Arabidopsis thaliana: one gene and its partners. The protein of the gene in region 3 purifies or fractionates together with the protein of the main gene of each other region. This does not show direct contact. Each region holds a gene or a part of one and is shown on either strand. Other genes may lie near its edges. The genes, in order: AT1G12230, GSH1, UFD1 and AT3G53580.

Region 1 (5,462 bases), on a different chromosome or scaffold from region 3:
TGGTGTCATGCCATTGACGTTTTAACATCATCTGCCATAGATTTTTCAGGTATGGAAGATGAAATTCTCCATGTTTTGAAGTATAGCTATGATAATTTAAATGGGGAGCTGATGAAATCCTGCTTCCTCTATTGCTCTCTGTTTCCTGAAGACTATCTTATTGATAAAGAGGGGTTGGTAGACTACTGGATAAGTGAGGGATTCATAAATGAAAAAGAAGGCAGAGAGAGGAATATTAACCAAGGTTATGAGATAATTGGTACCCTTGTCCGTGCATGTTTGTTGTTGGAGGAAGAAAGGAACAAATCAAACGTGAAAATGCATGATGTGGTTCGTGAGATGGCTCTATGGATATCATCCGATCTTGGGAAGCAAAAGGAGAAATGTATTGTGCGAGCTGGTGTTGGGTTACGTGAAGTACCAAAAGTCAAGGATTGGAACACTGTGAGAAAGATTTCTTTGATGAATAATGAGATTGAAGAGATATTTGACAGTCACGAGTGTGCTGCACTTACAACTCTATTTCTCCAAAAGAACGACGTGGTAAAGATCTCGGCTGAATTCTTTCGATGTATGCCTCATCTGGTGGTTTTAGATCTATCAGAGAATCAGAGTCTTAATGAATTACCAGAAGAAATATCAGAGCTGGCCTCTTTGAGATATTTCAACTTGTCATATACATGTATACATCAACTACCCGTTGGTTTATGGACATTGAAAAAGCTAATACATCTGAATCTCGAACACATGAGCAGTCTTGGGAGTATATTAGGGATATCAAATTTGTGGAATTTGAGGACATTGGGACTACGAGATTCCAGACTGTTGCTAGATATGAGTTTAGTGAAGGAGCTGCAGCTCTTAGAACATCTAGAAGTTATAACCCTAGATATATCATCAAGTTTGGTTGCAGAGCCATTGTTATGCTCTCAAAGGTTGGTGGAATGTATAAAAGAGGTAGATTTTAAGTACCTTAAGGAAGAATCAGTGAGAGTATTGACTTTGCCAACCATGGGTAATCTCCGCAAGCTCGGGATAAAAAGATGTGGAATGAGGGAGATAAAGATAGAGAGGACAACTTCATCATCGTCTCGGAACAAAAGTCCCACAACTCCATGCTTCTCAAACCTCTCCAGAGTCTTTATAGCTAAATGCCATGGTCTTAAGGATTTGACGTGGCTTTTGTTTGCTCCTAATCTTACTTTTCTTGAAGTTGGGTTCTCAAAGGAAGTAGAGGATATAATTAGTGAAGAGAAAGCTGAGGAGCATTCAGCTACGATTGTTCCTTTTAGGAAATTGGAGACACTACACCTGTTTGAATTACGCGGGCTCAAGAGAATCTATGCAAAGGCTCTGCATTTTCCGTGTCTGAAAGTTATCCACGTAGAAAAATGTGAAAAGCTGAGAAAGCTTCCATTGGATTCTAAAAGTGGGATCGCGGGTGAAGAACTTGTCATATATTATGGAGAGAGAGAATGGATAGAAAGGGTTGAATGGGAGGACCAAGCAACTCAACTCCGTTTCTTACCTTCATCCAGGTGGCGGTGGAGAGAAACATAATGAACTTCACTTTCTTCTACAAACTTTTGTTGTCATGGTCTAAAGACATTTGCCGGTGTGTAAATCTCTTCCTTGTCTCTTCTTGTTTGCATAACCGTTCTCATCGTTCTTTTGGTTAGTGATCATTGGATTTGTACTTATCTCTTTCTCTAAACGATGAGTGTTTGTTTCGGCTTCATAGAAACATTACACAGAGACTCATGAGAAAATGAATAAAAACTTGCAAGTTCCTAACCATTGTAATAAAATAATAATTAACTGTCTTATCTCGTTGACAGTTTTCGGATAAATTAGAAAAGGCGGGACCCACGTTAATTGGAAGATATCAACGGCTGGATCTGCTTACTCAGATCAACTTCAGCGAAAAAAATGCCACTCTCGTTGCAATCTCCGCCTTGTGCAACTCTCTCTGCTTCAATCCGAGTACTCTCCTCTTCGCTTACTTCTTTCAATCGCATGTATTTGTGCATTGTTTGTTTTTTATCTAATGGATGCGAGCTTTGAACTTCGCAGAAGGGACGATGGAAGACGCTCGCCGCCGGATTCTCCGTTACTCCTCTTCCCGCCGTTAACTTCAGTCTTCGGCGATCGATTCCTCGGATTCTTGCTTCCGCTAGTTCCTCCTCCTCTCCTGCGTCTTCGTCTCTCGAAGCTGGTATTTGTTTATATCTTTGATGATCGTGTTTCTCATTAATTAATAAATACGATTTCTGGAAAGACAAAACAAAAGTATGGGTTTTTGAAAGATTGACTACGATTCAAGCTTTCTTTTTATGTGGGTTTGTTTTTATACTGTCTTGAGTCACTTGTTAGGAAACTATGCTTGACAAAGTTGCTATTTTTGGTTTACCTTTCTTAGTTCAGGACCTTCTGGTTGCTTTAGTTCTTAGCTGAACAGTGTTGATTTATGGTTGAATTTGAAGAAACAAATTGTGTATTTGGTGTTTAACATTGTTCTTGGATGATATCGGTTTTCCTAAAGTTCTCAACTTTATTTCTTCTGGAATGCTTTTAGATGATCATTGAGTTGTTTGATGAAATTGTGTTTTTTTTTTCAGGTGAGAACAATGAGCTAAATGCTGTTTCAGCTTTTAGTGAGATTGTTCCTGATACTGTCGTTTTCGATGACTTTGAGAGGTATGATATATATCTCTACTTCATGAGACTTTAGTTACACTGGTATATCATAAAAATGGAGTCAGACATTCTTAACTTGAGATTGTACTGAGTTTTTCTCTGGATCGAGGATACAAGAAAGAAATTAGCTTAAGATGTAAAAACTCACTCCCTCACAAGTATAACTTCTAACCTTTAGTTATTGTGAAAACCAGATAGTATAACCTTTTGGTTTTCTAATTGTGCTGGATTGATACCTTTGTTGTATTTTACTGATCTGCAGGTTTCCGCCGACTGCAGCTACTGTTAGCTCTGCTCTTCTTCTGGGTATCTGTGGTCTACCTGATACCATTTTCCGCGTAAGCATTTCAAGAGTTTTGATTCTTAGATGATAGTATATGACATCTCTTGTTTTGGGCTCATTTAATTTTGACATTTTTACATCATGATTAGAATGCTGTGGACATGGCTTTGGCGGATTCTTCTTGTGCAGGGCTTGAAACCACAGAATCTCGACTCTCTTGCTTTTTCAATAAGGTTGATCTTCTTATCCCTTATCTGTTTTTCCACTTCCAGATCTTTGCTGCTTAAAAGCTTTTTTTGCCCTTATTACTGATGAGAAAAGTGCAGGCTATTGTCAACGTAGGTGGCGATCTTGTCAAACTCGTTCCAGGTCGAGTTTCTACTGAAGTGGATGCACGTCTTGCTTATGACACAAATGGCATTATCCGCAAGGTAGTTACTACACCATATATATAAGATAATTTGATTATATGTCTCCTGTATCTTCAAATCACTAACTTGTGATGTGATGATGTGTGTAGGTTCATGATCTGCTGAGACTATACAATGAAATCGATGTACCACACGACCGGCTCCTATTCAAAATCCCTGCAACTTGGCAAGTAAGATTATTTTCAGCAAATACCAAAGCTTTACCTTTTACTGGTCTCTTAGTATTGTGCTTATCCCTCTCATAGGGTATTGAAGCTGCAAGATTGTTGGAATCAGAGGGAATCCAAACGCATATGACCTTTGTTTACAGGTACCATAAAACATACCTTTTGACTCTTTTATTTTAGAATTGTCTATCCATCTGATTTGTTTACTTTATAATTTCGTTTTGCATTCATCAACAGCTTTGCACAAGCTGCAGCAGCTTCTCAAGCCGGTGCTTCTGTCATTCAGATTTTCGTCGGTCGCCTCAGGGTAACCATTTTTTAAACAGATGCTGCTAAGTGATTTCAGTGATATGCCAAAGTTAATATCTTAAAATCATTAGGATTGGGCGCGTAATCATTCGGGAGATACCGAGATTGAATCTGCTATTAAATCGGGAGAAGATCCTGGTTTGGCCTTGGTCAAAAGATCATATAACTACATTCACAAGTATGGTTACAAGTCCAAGCTGATGGCTGCTGCTGTCCGGAACAAACAAGACTTGTTCAGTCTTCTCGGGTAAACTCAAACTTCCAAATCATAGCTTCGACCATCAATGGATTCTGATCACATTCTAACTTTCAATGTTCTCTTCAATCTCAGGGTCGATTATGTCATTGCACCATTAAAGGTACTGCAATCTCTTAAAGATTCACCCGCCATTCCCGATGATGAAAAATACTCATTTGTTCGGAAACTTACTCCTGAAACTGCAACACATTACCACTTCACCAACAAAGAGGTTAGTTCTGAAGCTAACCAACACTCATTTGCTTCTGGTTTCACTAAACCAGTGTCTCACCCTGTTTGTTTGATTCTGGTTTAGCTGGTCAAATGGGACCAGCTAAGCTTGGCTTCATCTATGGGTCCTGCATCAGTGGAGCTTTTATCAGCCGGTGTTGAAGGTTATGCGAACCAAGCGAAACGTGTTGAAGAGCTTTTCGGGAAGATTTGGCCACCTCCTAATGTCTAAATACACAGCTTTTCTCTTCATCAATAAGGATCTGTATCAATAAGAGAACTAAGTGTCCATGTTACTTGAACACTACCCTGTTTATCTTCCTGCCCTCTTTATCTTTTTCGTGGCTTGTTGTTCATCATGTCTGAGACTTGGGCTACAAGATAAGAGACTTTAGTTTTAAGACTAAAAGTCTAAAACCAAATCCTTTTCATGTTGTTTCGTCTGAACTTCGGTCTTTTTTTCTCTGTAATTGACTTAGTCGGTTCTCAGATCTCTGAGTCATGATTGTACCGATAAACCAAAATTGAACCGATTGTTTTTGTAAAACCAATCGGGTTCTATTAAAGTTCAAACTAAACTAAAAATTTAACTATGGACTGAAAATAAATAAAAAAATTCTTAGACAAAAAAAAGTTGGACATAGGCCAAACACTGTTTGTTTGACAAATTCTAAGATAAATGATAAAAAGATGAGTTTTTTTAGGGCGAGAAAGACGGTTTAAATCCAAAAAAAAAATTGGGAATTTATGTGTACCAAATGATAAATATCATGAAGACAATGAAGAGGATCAACATAAACTTATCAATCTCAGTCAGATGCATTATCTGATGTCTAGTCACTTCTCTATCCACCTTCTTTAATGTCATTTAGTAATTTTCACACAAGCAGAAACGTACCATGTTATAAATCTTATCTTCTAATGTTTACAAATTCGTACGTCTTACATTTAGTTGTTGACAAAAAAAAAAGATAATTGAAATTTAGTTCAATCATTTTTTTCCTGTGTGATTGCGTTTTTCCTTTGACGACATGTTGTTTGTGATTAATTATTGTGGGTTCATACCAATAATTATGAAATACCTAGATTATTTTTTAAAATATAGC
Region 2 (7,850 bases), on a different chromosome or scaffold from region 3:
AGAAGTCAAATAAGTTTTTATCCAATTCTATTAATAGGAAAACGGATGACAACCTCCTGGATCATTTCTTAGTATTTGTCATCACTCTTCCCCTGAATCATTGATCAACCTGACAACCTCTATACCAATTCAAAAGATTGTCTCCCATTTGAACTAATATTTTCATATACATGAAAAATCCTATTACTGTAGCCAAGGCACTTTTGAAGCTAATGATCAGGTAGGAGAAGTGATTTCAACCCACTGTTGTAATACATGATTGCATAATCAAAACCAATCTATGGAATCCACATTTGAAATATTTTGGCCCGTTTTAAAATATTTTTTTGGTAACGTTTTTTAACGGATTTTTGATTTCTGCAAATTTTGGCGCGCTTTCCACTTTCAAACTGAATTTTTGAAAGAATCTAAATGGCATGCGATCATAATTAACACTTTTTAAGATGTAAGATCCTTCATATTTCATAACCATAATTAATTTGATAGACAATAAATGATTGCATAATGTTCCACTGTTGTGATAGATGATTGCATAATCAAAACCAATCTATGGGACAAAGCCACATTTGAATTATTTTACAGATCTATACGACATATTCGAACTTAAAAAAAAAACAATAAAAACAAACAAAACTCAGTCGTTTTTAAAGCCAGTCGCTAGTTATAGTCGCAGCGACACTTAAACGAACCGGCCCGAAGTCTCTCATAAAAATTGCGATTGCGTTTACATGTTTACCTAATATATTAAATTCCAATTTAAATGAAAGAAATCAATTTTAATCAATTTCCTTTTTAGCAAATTGTTTTGATTTTTTATTTTTTTTTGGTTGCCATAGACGACATTTGTTAGGTTGTTTCAAATATTGGACTTAAATTTTAAAATTGAAAACAAGCAAGGTTATGTGAAAAAGCAATTGGTTTACAGTTTAAGGTTTAGGAAAAATAAGACTAGAAGCAGATTAAAAACATTTGATCTCAAAAACTAGAAACGTGCCAAATTAAAGTATCAACGAAATACATGGAGATTTTAAAAATTATGATCTCTTATGTAGATTACAGTTTTAACGGACATAAAAACGTTGACGTAACATACATGAATGAAAGGTGGGTATATTAATTAGGTAAGGCAGTGTGTGGACTGTGGAGACTCGGTTTTTCTCACTCTCATCAGTCATCACTCATCATTTTGTAGGGACGCCTTGGTAGGGTTTACATATTATCCTGTCACCTAAGTGCCACTATCTTCTTGTTTTACGATAATTACCGACGGCCAGGATCATCGTGTTGTAATCAGTTTAGTTTACGCGGAGTCTGGTGGATTCAATTATGAAAGCAGTGTTCTTCACTAGCCAAAACCTATTAAAGGAAAAGCTCGTAAATGTCTACATCGAAGATGCTCTCCCATTTAGAAAAAAACATACATTGCCAAATTACTAAACATCAAAACTTTCCACTACACAGCCTAGATTATCCCATCCGTCGCCTTTGCCTTGAAATCAGTTTTGAGTTATTTCGTTAAATGTAGACAAATTTGTGACAAGAAAAATGGGTAATTTATTCAAGATCCAAACACACCCTCCCAAACGATTTCCCACACCGAAATCGTTTAGTACATACAATTTTTCTTCTGCTTTTCAATGCTTCGAATTTCTAAAACAAAATCAGTTTTTAAAATCCGATTACAACAAAAAAAAAAATCCTTATTCCGGAGACTCGAATTCTTCAGATAGCATAAACTCACACCCAAAGGTTTATAGACACCTTTTGTTCACGTCCCATTTTCTTAGTACAGCAGCTCTTCGAACACGGGATCTACGCTTTGTCCCCATTCTCCATTGTACATCTCCAAGAGCTTCTCCGCAGGCGTAACTCCTGTCATTTCAAAACCAAATTTCACCACCAGGTTATCAAACAAAATGTCGGTGTGGAATTCAATTATGCATTAGGAAACTTCATTTACCTGTTCTGACCACTTCATCGACTGCGTTCAAGAAACCGGCTTCCTTGTAGCCTCTGCGCTCTAAACCATCCTGAGAAACAAAGAGAAAATAAGTCCAATAGTTAGAAGCTGGACCAGACGGGATAGAAAGCTGGCTCGAAGTTTCTAAGAGGGTTCATACAAACACACCTTTGCGAGTTTCAGGACATCTTCAGCGACATGCTTTAACAAACCATCCCTAAAAGGAGTCTTTAAGCCAGTAACTGGGACCTGTTGGAAATCAAGTATTAGTTTATTACAAGATGTTTTCTAACTGTGGAATAAGAAAATGTAAATGTGGTGCGTCTTGTTATTACTTTGTTCCTTAGCATCTCTCTCTCTGCTGGAGTCCAGTCAGCTGTCAGATCCAGGATAGCTTGGAGACTATCATCATCATATAATAAACCCACCTGAAATTTGTAGATAAAATCAAAACAACAGTCAATACTTTTTGAAACATTCTCATTAAGCACGAAATATATATGTGCTAATAGATGTAGTTACCCAGAAAGCTGGCAGGGCACACAGCCTCCTCCAGGGACCTCCATCAGCACCTCTCATCTCCAAGTATCTCTTCAACCGAACCTAGTGTTATGGAACGTTGTCAGACTTCAACATAAGACAGGGAAATGAAAGTCATAGGCTGATTGAAAGACTCTTGAGGCAGATGATTAACCTCTGGGAATATTGTTGTCAGATGGTTTTCCCAATCATTATATGAAGGCAGTTCACCAGGGAGACAGGGAAGTTTTCCAGCCAAGAATTGCTGCAGCATGAAGAATATTATGAGATTAGATATAATTCAAGAAGATCCCATGGTTTTCAATTTGCCAATTCCTTGCAATGAAACAGTTATAGAACCTAACAGAAAAGATTAAGGATAGATTTTGACCCGAAATGTCATTCCAGTACAGTCGATGTATTTGTTCTTTCTGTAGGCAAAGTACATAGGGACATCGAGTGCGTAGTCAACATACTGCTCAAACCTATACCAGATAAGAACAAAAGAGAGCAATAAAATTAAGATTAGCCATGCTGTTTCAAGAGAAGGATAAAGATCCAAAGCATCTTTCTATCTTGAACACAAACATATGTAAGAAAATCCACAGAATAGCACATATCAATTTTCCAATAACTCATCAAGAATGCGAGACAGAGTCATTGGTTTTTGAGAAGCTTCTCATACCAAACCAACCAATGTAATGTAATTGTTTTTCATAGATTAAACATCGATACTCACCCAAAAGAGTCATCGAAAACAAATGGTAGCATTCCTGTGCGGTCCTTGTCAGTGTCTGTCCATATGTGGCTGTCAAAACATACCAGAGTTATAAGGTGGGAGGGAAACTAATTCAAAAAGATATCGGGGATCATAACAACTGAATCTAGATACCTTCTCATGCTGAGAAATCCGTTTGGCTTTCCTTCTGTAAAAGGGGAATTCGCAAATAGAGCCGTTGCTATCTGTTGAATTTAGATAATAGTGAGGCAATGGTTAGTCAAAATCGTTAATAAAAGTTTCTGGTTATGCCACAAAGAGATCGAGCTTCTCACAGGTTGTAAAGCAAGACCAGCACGAAACTTCCTGATCATATCAGCTTCTGAGCTAAAATCCAGATTAACCTGTCAAGATTGCAAGTAATGCAGTTTCTATAAGTTTCAAAATAAGATTATTGATGAGAACTGGAAAGTTTAGTTTAAGGAAATTATGAAAAGGCGCAAAGTCAGAATATTAATCTAACCTGAACAGTACACGTTCGGAGCATCATATCAAGACCAAGGGTACCAACTTTCGGCATGTAGTTTCTCATAATGTCGTATCTCCCCTGCACAGAACACATTACACTATGTCAAATCTTACTGCCTGACTCGTCATAGGAAAACTTAACACAAACACCAAGAAATAATCCGAACGTTGGCTATGTAGAATCAGATAATATTATCTGAATTAGAAACAAACAGATGTTAACTTTCTTCAATCTTAAGAATAGAGAAAGCGTCATACCTTTGGCATGATGGGTATATCCTCCCGACGCCATTTGGGCTGGAAGCCAATTCCTAAGAAACCAATTCCCATTTCCTCAGCAACTGCTTTTACCTGTGACATCCGTAGATAGTTGGTTATTTGTCACGTTTTAGGGTGAGAGCATTGGCAATAATTATCTTTGAAATTACCTGATAAAGATGTGAATTGACTTCAGCACAAGTTTGATGCAAAGTCTCAAGAGGTGCACCACTAAGCTCGAACTGACCCCCAGGTTCAAGTGAAATGCTTTGCTTTCCCTGGTCAACAAAAGGACAGAACGAGTTATCTACAGCAAAAAAAAAAAAAAGACTGAAACCTTATAATATACCGATCATTGTGTTGTATATGAAGCTAACATGTTCTACAGGCTGAAAATGTATATAAATAATAAACGGCTCAAAAGATGAAACACAGGAGAATGTTAACCTGCTTCAGACCAATGATCTTGTCACCTTCCATTACTTTTTCCCATTCAAATCTTTCAGCGATACCATTAAGAAGCTCGGCTATTTGATCATACTTCATAGGGCGCAAAGTATTGACCTCAAAACCAAATTTCTCATGTTCTGTACCTATTCTGAAAACTCACAATGTTAAGTTAGCAAAACAGAATATTTCTCCAATAGACAAACAATCTGGATGAATTCAAACAATACCAACACCGTAAAAGAGCACAAACAAAGAAATATGTCACAATTACAAACACTAAGTAGCATTTTAACAGAACATATAAGCATCAAACTGTACCTATATTTGTCCTTTGTTTTGCATCCAGAGGCAAGATAGGCAATGAGATCCTCTCTCGTCAACGGCTCAGTTGCAACTACAGCCTCTTCCGTTGGAGGACTTGCCGCAACAATCAATTGATGCCCTCTCTTACTCCTCTTAACAGAATGGAGAAGCATTGATTTGGTAGATAGACTCCTAGAGTAGGAGCTACCAAAAGCTTCTTTCATCCTCAAAACATCCAAATTCCTCACGCCACCCGAAACAACAGCTTTAGTTCCAGCCTTTGAACAAACTCCAGAAGGAACAACAGTGTATGATCCTCCTGCTTGAGACAAGAGCGCCATGGTATATATAGCTCCTGCAATTATAACAATTCATCATAAGCTATGAGAAATCACAAATAACTGCATTTTTCTCAATTCTAATAACATATATCACATAATTAGAATCAGCAGCTACCACAGAATTGAACTATCATCTGGAAGAACAAATCAAAATTCGTGTATCACCAAACCAGAAACAACAACAACAACAAAAATCAAATCAAAGCAAAAATCTGCAAAAATTCGACTCTAACAAAACCAAAATCATGCAACAGCCAAAAAAAAATCATGAGAAAAAGCGAAGATTCAACCAAAAAAAAAAAAGCAGAACAAATCAATCAAAAACCAAAATCCACAAGTCCAGAAAGCGAAGAAGAAGAGAAGCAAATCACACCTGAAATTCGTCAAGCTTGACGGAGATTGAGAGACACCGTCGAAATCAAGAAGAAAGCTTAAAGAGCAAAAACGAATCGGCGTTTCAAATTTATATGCGACTGAGAGAGAAATGAGAAACTGATAAAAAAATGAAAGAAAGTTGATCAGTGGAGCATGAGCCGATCAGTGGAGCTGAGCTGTCTATAAAAGAAAGTTGATAAAATTAATAATCATTGTAATAAAAGATTCTTTCGTTTTTTGCCTCTTACTTTTCCATTTCTCACAAATTTAACCCTAATAGTTTTTTAAATAACCAGTTTATTAGTAGTTTAAACAAAGGTTAACTTTATAGTGTGTATAATGAATTAATGATATTTCTATTCTTTATAGTATACTTTAAACGAGGTTTAACTTTACGATATTTAATTTAGAACGTAAAATAATGAAAAGTGTGTCACTAACCAACCACATGACCTCAGATAAAATACTCTATAGGAAAAGAAATATATATACTACTATAAAAAACAGTATCATTATCTATTTGGTTTGATTGTGTCGACAAAAAAATCTTGGTTCTGATGAACGAAAATTGGCGTTATGTTTTTATATTTCCTACTTCTTAGTAGGTGGAATCAAATCCTGCTTTTATAATCAACAATTTAATGATACAAAAACATGTGAATGGTAGATAATGAATCACCATCAAAAGTTCTACTTGTGTATAATAATATATATAGATACGGGATGGATTTGACAATATCCCAATTATAACAATGGAAGGCTATTTGTCTATATTGTTCATGGAATAGTATGGTACCATGGTGGTCATTTACCTTATTTTTAGAAATAACTGTATTTTTAGTAGTAAACACAATTATGGCTATATATCACCTAATTTCTCTATCTGAGTTTGATTTTGTATTCGTGACAAAATCATAGTAAAACAAGTTTAGAAATTTTGTTTACTATTTGGTAATCTACAAAATCCTTCAAATTCCATGGTATTTTTCACATACTTTCGAGAATTTGGTTTTCTCAAAATGAGAAAAACTAATTATTGTGTTAAGTTTTTTTTTTTTTTTTTTTTTGAATGTTATAACACATTTGAGTTTTGTTATAATTTAAAATCTTAAAATTCGAGCTTCGTTCTAATTTCATTATATCGCACAGATTGACTCTATCTTTTTTTTTTTTTTTAATTGACTCTATTCAAATTTTACTACAAGATCCATTATTGTGTTACATATCGATACTCCTATGAATTATGAAGCTGTGCTAAAAAAACATGTGGCATTAGTAATTTATTTATTTGATATCAATTATGGCTGCCATTGAAAAACAAATAGATGCAGAATTGCTTGCGTTTGCATATACGTAACGTAAGTAAAAACTAAAAACTCTTGTAGCGACAAAAATAGAAAAACAAAAAAAACTCTTGTAATTGTGCACTTCTATGTTGTATGTTTAAATTAATATCAAATATATTTTATCGAACACATGAATGAATAAGTTATAAGAAGGTAAGGTAGGTGGACACGTGCGTGACTCAAAAATGGCGGCCATGACTTCTAATCTCCACACCACCAAAGCCTTAAACGGAACCCACCTCCACAGTTTCTTCCTATACATTCGTCACTCACAAGTCACACCGTTTCAACTTTCACGAAAACTTATCTAAAAAATAATAATTAACATTTGACATAATGGAAAATCACATTAATATATAGCCGTCAAAGAGTGAAGTCAGAAATCCTAAAACGATACGGAATTAAGCTGGAGTGTGCTATGCAGACTCTTTCAGTTAATCTTTTCCTTTATATTCCAACCTTAACGTTTTCTAATATCCACGAGAAACCCTAAACTTTCGATTTCACATTAAAGACCCCAATCCTCAGCACAAAGTAACTAAATGCATCAGACATAGTAGCTAGCTATTTGCGCTTATAATGATTTGAAGTTACCAAAAGATTTTCTTCCTAGGGATTAAGAGAAAAGTAACATCTGGGATTGTCATGGCAAGCCCAACTCATAAGTCTCACCGAAGCCCAACTACACATATTCTTAATATGGCCGAAGAGGTAGATGATACACAATCTTGAAAAGTTGTTCTAAGTGGCTGTTGGTGTTGGATTCTCACATTTGAACTCGGCCTATTCAAGGCCCATAAAGAAAGCTTATATAGGTAACATCGAGCTACAACATTCCGGAGCTTCATGACTCTCACCAGGCCCAAGTCACATCAGTTTAGCTCGTGATGGCCCTATACAGTTTGAGCAAGTCAAAATAAAACGGGCATATCTAACAAATTAAAAAGGAAACGTTAAATTGGTAGACATCGAGATGGGGACGTTATGATTTGCATGGATTGACTAAGGAGGTCGTATAGACCAGGGTCACTTCTTTCTAGAAAACAAGCTAG
Region 3 (4,763 bases):
GGAAGCATAATGCTATTGGTGCTGGTTGTTGGCAGGAGTTATTAATGGGACTGCGCCGAATCCGGTTAGGCTTGGGGAAATGTGCCAGCAGCTAGGCAGTGTTCTTAGCCGACCATCGTGGCTACCAGTTCCTGACTTTGCACTCAAAGCTTTGCTCGGAGAAGGTGCCACTGTAGTTCTGGAGGGACAGAAGGTATTACCTGTAAGAGCCAAAGAGCTTGGTTTTGAATTCAAGTATAAATACGTGAAGGATGCACTCAGAGCCATTATGCAATAAGGTGACACACATAAGCATCTTTGTAAAATTGGTTTTGATCACAGAAAATCCCCAGAAAAACAAGATATTCTTTTCTTTTCGTCTCTATATCTTTCTTTTTGAGTAAAACTCGAGAAATGTATTTATGGTAAAAAGTGTTTTCGGTGTTATCTCAGAAACCAGAGATCACAGATGTGTTGAGGATATTATAACTCAGACATAGCATCTTTCTCATCTATGTTCTTTGGTCATTGGTTCATTGGTAAAGAGCTACAGAGCATGGCTTGCTATTCATGAACACATTATGTTAGTGAGGTGCTCAGAATCTTATATCCTACAGTAAGAATATAAAAGAGCAGAGAATTGTAGAAAGTTGCATTGAATCTGATAAAGAAAACAAGCCGCGTCAAGAGGAGCCAGAGATTTATTCACTTATTTGTTTTCCTTGTATTTTTAGTACACAACATGAGAGGTCATAAATAGACTGAGTAGACCCATTGTGTGAGTTGATCAACCCCTCAATGAATACTTCTTCCCAGAGAAAGCTTGAAACTTGGGCTCGTCTTTCTTCTCTTGTTCCTCTTTCTTTGTCTCTTTTGCAGCTCCAACCTGAAAAAAAAAATTAAGAGATGAACAATCATATGCATTTGTCTCTCAATTCCATTACAGTTTTTGTTTTGTCAATTATCAATAAACTCTGAATGCGTACTTTCGGAGCAGCTTCTTTTGGAGCACGGTTTCCGTTAGCCCCAAATACAAGCTTTCCCTGAGCTCGTGTAGCTTTCTCTGAGCTACTTGCTACAGATGACTGTCCATTACCATTAGCGACAACAGGTTGTTTGCCTTTTGAGCTAGAGGCTGGCGCTGGCTCATAGGCAAGAGGTCTCCCATCTAACCGTCTTCCAGATCCGGTGAAAGGGTTGAACTTTGGTTCAGGTTCATCCACAACCTCCTCAGCTGTGAAATTTGGAAAGAAAAGAACACATGAGAATCTAACAACTTGAAGCTGATAGTAAGTCCATCTGATGATTTCATGTCCATGGATAGATACCTTTTGCCGGACCCTTAGCTGCAGAAGGTGCTGTGGGACGTTCAGGCTCCTTGTAATCGAGGGGAGGTGCGAAATCAACCTCACAGTCTGTTTCTATGATGCTGATTGCGTTAGCAGGCTTTGTTTCAACTATATCTATGAAGTACTTCTTATTGTTGTATGGAACCATAATGCTATCCCCACTAGTTAGGCATGAATAATTTCTCAAAGCAGTCTCCAAGCTGCAACGTTCACTCAATTATCAGTAAAGAATATTGGGAACAAGATAAAAAGAGTGACATCAAACAACTACGAGCCAGAAAACGGGAAGAACTTAGATATAATAATACATTCTCTAAGCAATAAACAACATGATGTGGGAAAGTATATGAGGGCTCAAATACAAGAGGGTAGAAATAAGTCGGACTCACATGGCTTTCGGGTTGGATATATCCAGGAAGTCTGTTGTGTGGGGCTGTAGTTTAACGTAAGTTCCCTTTGGAAGAGTGACATTTCTAACTCTCACAATGTCTCCTTCTTGCAGCAGCAGATTCTGCATCATCTGGATTATATCAAAGAAGCAAACAATCAGTCTGGTAAGTCCACATGATCCAGAGTACTTCGATTCACAAACAAAGAGGAAACTGATTCTTACCCAATATGGCATGTAAATCATGCCTTCTTCTGCAATGAACTCAAGGACTCCACAGTGTGTAACACGTTCAATTCCAGCATTACGAAGCTCAAACAGCATCGGATAGTCAATATGCAAAGAGGCTGTAAAGTCCCCAATATTAGCGATTTGATATGTTTCTAAGTTAAACAAATATTAGACCAAATCCAAAAGAGAAAACCAGTAGGAGCATACCTAGACGATCAAGGGCTGATGGTGGCATTATAACTGAAATAGAATTAACACAAATTAAAACCTCAGGCTTGAACAATACAGATGGAAACAAACATTGGTGTCTAGATAGAAGACTTACTCTTGTCACCACTTTCAAGTTGTGGCTGCAGGGAAGAGAAAAGGAAATAGAAATTAGATACTAGATCTCAGCTTTCTTATAGAACTTACTTAGTAGAACATGACAACGACTAAGATTCTAACATTACAAAAGAGCACTCTCAGATTCACTTATCAGGGAATTAAACTAAAAGTAGAGAGATGAAATCAAACCTTGTCGATAAAAGATGCCGGATAACACCGGTAACTCTGCTCAAAGGTTGTTCCATGATAATGGTATCCATCGAAAAACTGCATCGAGTTTAAATTCCAAAGGTTTAGACAAACAAACCAAGGGTGCGAGATATAAAAGCTAGAGTGAAGACTAACGGTTAAAAAGGAAAGCTTTGAATACACTTACCATAGTTATTGGTGGTAGTAGACTAACAGAGTAAGTTAACAAATGGCAACCTACAGAAAAAGAAACCTCACACAAGTCAATTACAAGAGATCCAAATCATAAAAGAGAAAAAGAGGGCACTCTTTAATTTAAGGGTTTCAATAATCAATTGTGGCCAACAATTCCGACCGGAAGGAACATCAAAGTTAGTGACTTTAACAGATAACTAAACAAGCTATTATCAAAAACCTAAGACCTCAATTTCGAATCTCAGCAGAAGAATAGAAACCTACAAAATCGAAGAACCATCTACAACTTGCAAAATCCCACCTTTTGAAACAAACCCAAGTAAGATCCTTGGAAACCTATTCCTAAACAATTCACCGGAAATCCCCAGAACAGAAGATTCCGATCAAAAGTTGAGAGTGGGATCGATACAAACAATACCAAAGCTAAAAACTTTACAAAATTAAAAGCTCGTCTTGAGATTATCAGAGAAGAATAAGAACTCAGAAACCACCGATTGAGCTGCCCGACCAATAAAATTACCTTTAGGAAGTAATTGATTCCAGACACAACCCAAGTAAAGATGCAAACTTTGAGGACCTGTGATAACGTTGCTTGTATATATATATACCCATACGGTGCGTATTGATTCATGTCTTTGTAAAACAGTTTGGGCTTCACAAAAAACGGTACTAGCCCATTGGGCCTCGAATAGTGAGGAATCATGACCACTTTATATTGACGTGTGCGTTACCAACTTACCATACTGGGAAACTCTCAATTCTGAGCAGATATCTACCCAATCACGGATTGAGGAGAGAAGCAAGAAGAAGAAATGGAGATTACACTGAACAGTGGCTTCAAAATGCCGATCATCGGCTTAGGAGTTTGGAGAATGGAGAAAGAAGAGCTTCGAGACCTTATCATCGATGCCATCAAGATCGGTTATCGTCATCTCGACTGTGCTGGTATAACTTAACACTGCTTAAAACCTTTTCTTTCTGATCTTTGTTGCTTCGGGTTTGTCAGGATATGTGAATAAAATATTAGGTTTTGTTTTAATTTGTTGAAAGTTGGAATCTTACTTGGAAATTATGTCTTAAGATTTGGGTTTTTAAGTATTTGGAAATTTGGAATCGTAGAATGATCTTAAGTCTTTGCTGTATCACAGACAATTGTTTTTGTTTCTTTGCATGTGAGTGAGTTGCTTTGTTCTGTATCCTGATTTATGAGTATCTTTTGGGGTTACTTGGTTCAGCTAATTATAAGAACGAAGCTGAAGTTGGTGAGGCTCTTACAGAAGCATTCACGACAGGTCTTGTCAAGAGGGAGGATCTCTTCATTACGACTAAGGTCCAAACGGCTTTAAGTTAAACTACTACATACCTTTGATATCAGTTCATTTCAGATCGAATGCTCTCTGTCTTGGTTTTGCAGCTATGGAGTTCAGACCATGGCCATGTTATTGAGGCATGCAAAGACAGTCTCAAGAAACTTCAACTTGATTACCTCGACCTTTTCCTCGTTCATATACCCATAGCTACAAAACACACGGGTTAGGCTTCAGCCTTGTTCATGAATATTATCAGTTTCGAGTAGAGACCATTGCATTTCAGCCTTGTTACTGGCTGGAAAATTAAGTTTTCTCAAGTCTCTAGCAATTGGCACACAGAGTAATAAGCTGTAACATGTAAGCCTTGTGCAGGAATAGGAACAACCGATAGTGCTTTGGGGGATGATGGGGTATTGGACATAGATACAACAATCTCTCTGGAAACTACATGGCACGACATGGAAAAGCTTGTTTCTATGGGTTTAGTCCGCAGCATTGGAATCAGGTTCAACTTCTCTCACTATCATTACAAGTTCTCTTGTTTAGTCGCCAATATATGAATTATTTGACCATTAGGTTTTTTGCAGTAACTATGATGTCTTTCTAACGAGAGATTGCTTGGCTTACTCCAAGATCAAACCTGCTGTGAATCAGATCGAGACACATCCTTACTTCCAACGCGATTCTCTAGTCAAATTCTGCCAGAAACATGGTATCTGTGTCACTGCTCATACTCCTCTGGGAGGTGCCACAGCCAATGCCGAATGGTTTGGCACCGTGTCATGTCTGGATGAC
Region 4 (4,901 bases), on a different chromosome or scaffold from region 3:
GAACATTAAGTAATAACTATTAACGCCTAAGTCTTGTATCAAAAAGTTAAGAAAAATGATTTGTGGCACTAATGGACTACTATATAGAAGAATGGGTCAAGAATATTCCACACACATGCAACAGACTCCAAAAGTTGTCTGCCAAGCTCCCGAACAAGATCAATGGGAAATGAACGGTAGCTGTTTTTGCGGAGAAAATCATATAAGCTTGGTCCAAGCTTCTCAAATACCTGTTGAAACCATTTAAACCCATGCGCAAGTTCTTTTAACTCACATAACATTTGGGCGTGAAGAAATTGCATTTTCCCCTCAAACTTGTCAAATAAAGGTAACAGCACTTACAATACAAATATGATTACGATAGTCAAACCAATTCCGTATTTGCACACAACTGCAAGGAATTGAAAAGCTTATACCAAATGTAATAAAATTAAAACTAGCGAAGAAATAGTAAGAGGAAAGAAATATTCTTACCGAGAACCACCGACATCATGCCTTGTAAGCCTCTGCAGCACGTCAATTTCGATCATGGCAGCTTCACGATACTTGTTTATGGACCGTATAACTTTGATTGCCACGACTTCTTTGTTTTTATTATCAAAGCATTCCAATACTTGTCCAAATGTACCTGCCAAAATACAATCCAATTGATTAAGATAACTGGCGACCAAATAAACATATTTCTCCTACACTTTGAAAAACAGAATAATCTAATCATAATGATTATATAAACATTTTCGCAAGAGATGACTAACCTTCACCCATTTTGCTGAGAATTTGATCTGCACGCACAATAGAAGAGGCATGTCAATGTAAACCTCCATGATAAAGTCTGTGAAACGTAACAGATAAGATGTCGAAAGACTCTGTAACATAAGACTCACATCGTGGAGTCAAAGTATCCCCAACAACAAAGACATAATGGCCGTCTTTATCATCTGGTCTCCAGGGAGGAGAGCCCTGACGAGGAAGGCCATTATAGAACATGTTTGGGTAAACAAAATTGGGAACTAAACCACTCGCAAACTCCGGACCATAGTACAACGGAGGTTGAAATACCTGAAAGAAAAAAACACATCAGCTGAAACTTAGCTCAAGCACACAAATAAAAATCTTAATTTCTTACTAGTTAACACAATTCGCAGTATCTTATGAAAACAACAAAAGAACAGTCCATTGATACCAATACAATATGTGGACAATTCGTTACCGTGGGTGGAGGAGGAGGAGGAAGAAGAGGCGGAGCAGCATCCCAAGTCAATCGGGGACGTTTCCTGGGACGCTTATCAACGATCCGATGAGGGAATTCAACATTCCTCTGAGTTTCTAAGATCATCGCGATCGAGCTAGCTTTATCACGATACACACTGCTTTGCATAAAGGATTAGAAAAATGCAAATCCAGAGCTGAAATTCAGAAACCCAGATTATGAACAGCGAGAGAATTGCGATTGAATTTCGAATCTAATTAGAGGGATAATAAGATTCCGAAATTCGAAACCCTAGTTATCTTCAATTTGGGGGGGATCTATCTCCAGAAGATAACTAAAAAAGGTGGGAAAAGTAACAGAAAAATATATTAAAAAAAGTGGAAGTAATGTAGCTAATAAACTAACCGCAAATTTCTCTCACACAGAGTAATTTAAAACGTTGAATTAGTCGCTGTCGTAATTTGATCGCCGGAATTCAGATCGGAGAAACAATAAAAATGCTCACTGAATTGGAATTGAAGAAAAAAATCTCAGGAGAAAATATTTAACAGCGAAAGAGACTGAAATGAGAGAGAGAGAGAGAACCTGAGGAAGAGAACAGCGAAGGAGCGACAGAGGCTCTGGAAGTTCTTAATGGGCTTTTTTAGTCAGGCCTTTATTAAATATATGTTGACTAAAGAAACGACATGATGTTATTACTGTTGAGGATAAAAACGACGTGGAGTTCAGTTATTTAATATCAGAACAATGGGGTGTTTTCTCCAAAGTCTTTTAATATGGAGGAGACGGGAGAGTCGTTGAACAAGAAAAATAATCTGAAGCAGCCATGGAGATAGCCGCCGTTAGCACTGTCTCCGTCGCGCCACAATCGCGCAGAGTGTCGAATGCGTTCTCCAGGAATCTAGGATCCGTATCTTCTCTTTCGTTTGGTTTCTTTGAGAAAGAATATTGCTTTAAGAGCCCTAGCCTTCGTGTGTCTGCAGCAGCTTCCATGGACGCCGTCACAGCTGAGAAATTTTCTCCGGCGAGTTTTCTAGACAAAAAAGAAACCGGAGTTCTTCACTTTGTGAAATACCATGGCCTCGGCAATGACTTCATTTTGGTACTTTTGTTCACCGTTGAATTCTCAATTTGGTAATTTAACCCGAAATGTATCGAATTCTTACAAATGTTTTCAAATTTTTCGTCTTTGGAATTGGATTTTGTAGGTCGATAACAGAGACTCATCGGAACCTAAGATTACTCAAGAACAGGCGGCGAAGCTGTGTGATCGAAACTTCGGTGTTGGTGCCGATGGAGTGATTTTTGCAATGCCAGGAGTCAATGGTACTGATTACGCAATGCGGATTTTCAATTCAGATGGTAGTGAACCAGAGGTGGGGCTTTTCGATGATAATGTCTGGTGATATGTTGTTGCGCTCGAAGTCATTGGCTTTTGATTTTGTTCTTGTAGATGTGTGGCAATGGAGTTCGATGCTTTGCTAGGTTCATTGCTGAGCTTGAGAATTTGCAGGGAAAACATAGGTATCTCTATCTGTATTGAGAAATATCTGTTTAGACTTGAGAGTTCCGAGTTTAGTCAAGCTTGATGTAACCTTAAGTGTCTATTTATTTGTTTTTGTAGTTTTACAATACATACCGGTGCCGGGTTGATTGTTCCAGAAATTCAAGATGACGGACAGGTAGATCATTTGGATTGATGTCTCATATTAGGTTTAGTCGTATTCATGATGATGGGTAAGGTAAAGTTTGGATTTTTATTTTTTGTGATTGATATTGGTACAGGTTAAGGTTGACATGGGGACACCGATTCTTAAAGCACAAGATGTGCCCACGAAATTGTCAGGGAACAAAGGTGAAGCTGTTGTTGAGGCAGAGCTAGTTGTTGATGGAGTAAGCTGGAATGTGACGTGTGTTAGTATGGGCAATCCTCACTGTATCACATTTGGTAAAAAGGGTGGACCGGTGCGTGTTTCGTTACTAGACTTCTAATCATATTATTTGTCTACACGTGAATTTCTTATCATTTGTAATTTTGGTTTGTGTCAACCAGAATCTGAAAGTTGATGATTTGAACTTACCAGAGATTGGTCCAAAGTTCGAGCATCATGAAATGTTCCCAGCTCGAACTAACACAGGTTAGTGGAGATTCATCGGCAGATGTATCCAGATTTCCATTGACTGATACAGCAAGACTTCTCGCTTATATTTGGATTTATATCCCTTTAGTTGTCTTACAGTTCTTTCTGTGTATCCGCAGAATTTGTTGAGGTCTTATCACGTTCTCATTTGAAAATGCGTGTGTGGGAGCGCGGAGCAGGTCCGCAAATTCCCCCCAATCTTCGAATATAATTCTCAGTTGATTATAAACAGTCTCTGTATCCTTATATGCTTAATGCTTACGCATACTTAAAACTGCAGGAGCAACTTTGGCCTGTGGAACTGGAGCTTGTGCTCTGGTTGTTGCAGCAGTCCTTGAAGGTCGAGCCGACAGGGTAAGTTTGGAATTTCAGAACTTAAAAAACTAGATAACAGTTTGCAAAATGGTACACTGGATTAGCAGTTTTTAAGCATTTTTTATGAAACCTGAATGTTGCATTGAATGGTTGGATGATTTGATTGGTAGACGATTGATGAGATTATGATTTTACTAAGTACTTTTCGTTCGCTTCGTCTCTTGTGGGAGAATCTTGTATTCGTTTTTTTTGGTTCTTCACTCTCACACAAATGTTTCTTGGATATTCATTGGAGCTTAAAGATTGTCATGAGCTGAGATTAGCTGCATGTGGTGACCTTGAGTTCCTCATATATGTATTGGTTTATGGTGGAACAGAAATGCACGGTGGATCTACCGGGCGGACCATTGGAGATAGAGTGGAAACAGGAAGACAACCATATCTACATGACGGGTCCTGCAGAAGCTGTTTTCTATGGATCAGCGCTGCTCTAATGGGCCTTCACAGTCGATGACTTCTCCTCTCTCTGTTGTTGTTCTTTTGGGGTCTGTGTGTTCTAATTCAAACGTGTGAAGCTCTTACCTGTCCTGCTAGATTGTGTTTCATGGATTTTGTTTATGTACTTTTATTGTTTTCAGAGTATCCAAACCTTTTGATTTGTTGCTGCATCTATGTTCATAATTTAAATCTTCTTTTCCTCGGAATATAGCTCTCTTCTACACTGATTCTCCACCAGACCAGACATTGTCAATGGCCGTGGTTGCACATAATGACAAGAGAAATGAAACTTGAGAGAATACAAAACCGCATATGTACATGATAAGATTGGTTAGCTTCCATATCTGCATAGATATTAGCTTATATGGTTAGGAATCAGGACAACATAACTGGTATCATAATATCTCCTAAGTATAATAACACAACTCTCATTAGTCTGATGTTAGCCTATCTCACACAAATATTTGTCAACGAGGTTTTACAGCGTGGAAAAAGCCACTGTCCAAGTTACTTCCAGGAAGTAAAGACAATGGCGAGGGTACAGAAGAAGATGACGGCGATGTTTTGGAGCAGAGTAATTTCGTTGTTTCTGAGAACATTTCGGGTTCTCGCACAGATTGGCAAATACCTTCAAGTTCTTTCACCACTTTTGACATTGGTGGTCTCGTCTCTGGTCTATCTTCACAACACCATAAAGCTAATTCCGCCAACTTCTTCACTTTATCGGGCGAACATTG

What was found.
Region 1: the proteins of UFD1 (region 3) and AT1G12230 fractionate together in Arabidopsis thaliana (co-fractionation; one large-scale study listed by BioGRID). This does not show direct contact.
Region 2: the proteins of UFD1 (region 3) and GSH1 fractionate together in Arabidopsis thaliana (co-fractionation; one large-scale study listed by BioGRID). This does not show direct contact.
Region 4: the proteins of UFD1 (region 3) and AT3G53580 fractionate together in Arabidopsis thaliana (co-fractionation; one large-scale study listed by BioGRID). This does not show direct contact.

Annotation. Positions count from the first base shown.
Region 1 is NC_003070.9:4,146,121-4,151,582, forward strand, and holds AT1G12230 (Aldolase superfamily protein), read left to right. Parts: upstream 1-1,841; 5' UTR 1,842-1,929; coding exon 1,930-1,983; intron 1,984-2,073; coding exon 2,074-2,215; intron 2,216-2,618; coding exon 2,619-2,697; intron 2,698-2,789; coding exon 2,790-2,855; intron 2,856-2,959; coding exon 2,960-3,035; intron 3,036-3,129; coding exon 3,130-3,213; intron 3,214-3,306; coding exon 3,307-3,411; intron 3,412-3,500; coding exon 3,501-3,581; intron 3,582-3,656; coding exon 3,657-3,721; intron 3,722-3,815; coding exon 3,816-3,885; intron 3,886-3,958; coding exon 3,959-4,134; intron 4,135-4,218; coding exon 4,219-4,357; intron 4,358-4,441; coding exon 4,442-4,588; 3' UTR 4,589-4,936; downstream 4,937-5,462. Other genes in the region: RPS5 (Disease resistance protein (CC-NBS-LRR class) family), read left to right, coding at 1-1,560.
Region 2 is NC_003075.7:12,101,675-12,109,524, forward strand, and holds GSH1 (glutamate-cysteine ligase), read right to left. Parts: upstream 6,022-7,850; 5' UTR 5,451-6,021; intron 5,092-5,450; 5' UTR 5,078-5,091; coding exon 4,752-5,077; intron 4,582-4,751; coding exon 4,431-4,581; intron 4,262-4,430; coding exon 4,154-4,261; intron 4,077-4,153; coding exon 3,984-4,076; intron 3,805-3,983; coding exon 3,721-3,804; intron 3,602-3,720; coding exon 3,533-3,601; intron 3,443-3,532; coding exon 3,372-3,442; intron 3,288-3,371; coding exon 3,219-3,287; intron 2,965-3,218; coding exon 2,871-2,964; intron 2,745-2,870; coding exon 2,655-2,744; intron 2,564-2,654; coding exon 2,483-2,563; intron 2,389-2,482; coding exon 2,296-2,388; intron 2,210-2,295; coding exon 2,129-2,209; coding exon of another isoform or gene 2,105-2,128; exon of another isoform or gene 2,031-2,104; coding exon 1,961-2,030; intron 1,873-1,960; coding exon 1,784-1,872; 3' UTR 1,687-1,783; exon of another isoform or gene 1,425-1,686; intron 634-1,424; 3' UTR 461-633; downstream 1-460.
Region 3 is NC_003071.7:9,106,016-9,110,778, reverse strand, and holds UFD1 (ubiquitin fusion degradation 1), read right to left. Parts: upstream 3,214-4,763; 5' UTR 2,939-3,213; coding exon 2,923-2,938; exon of another isoform or gene 2,701-2,922; coding exon 2,651-2,700; intron 2,542-2,650; coding exon 2,464-2,541; intron 2,298-2,463; coding exon 2,273-2,297; intron 2,188-2,272; coding exon 2,155-2,187; intron 2,064-2,154; coding exon 1,942-2,063; intron 1,849-1,941; coding exon 1,718-1,848; intron 1,529-1,717; coding exon 1,308-1,528; intron 1,214-1,307; coding exon 966-1,213; intron 866-965; coding exon 767-865; 3' UTR 518-766; downstream 1-517. Other genes in the region: SULA (NAD(P)-binding Rossmann-fold superfamily protein), read left to right, coding at 36-277; AT2G21260 (NAD(P)-linked oxidoreductase superfamily protein), read left to right, coding at 3,471-3,603, 3,894-3,988, 4,073-4,190, 4,341-4,473, 4,556-4,763.
Region 4 is NC_003074.8:19,862,748-19,867,648, forward strand, and holds AT3G53580 (diaminopimelate epimerase family protein), read left to right. Parts: upstream 1-1,883; 5' UTR 1,884-2,036; coding exon 2,037-2,312; intron 2,313-2,418; coding exon 2,419-2,586; intron 2,587-2,663; coding exon 2,664-2,734; intron 2,735-2,834; coding exon 2,835-2,892; intron 2,893-2,995; coding exon 2,996-3,175; intron 3,176-3,263; coding exon 3,264-3,348; intron 3,349-3,470; coding exon 3,471-3,530; intron 3,531-3,631; coding exon 3,632-3,705; intron 3,706-4,043; coding exon 4,044-4,160; 3' UTR 4,161-4,387; downstream 4,388-4,901. Other genes in the region: FC1 (serine/threonine-protein kinase AFC1), read right to left, coding at 116-230, 343-391, 475-628, 756-782, 885-1,059, 1,211-1,378; AT3G53590 (LRR receptor-like Serine/Threonine-kinase), read right to left, coding at 4,632-4,901.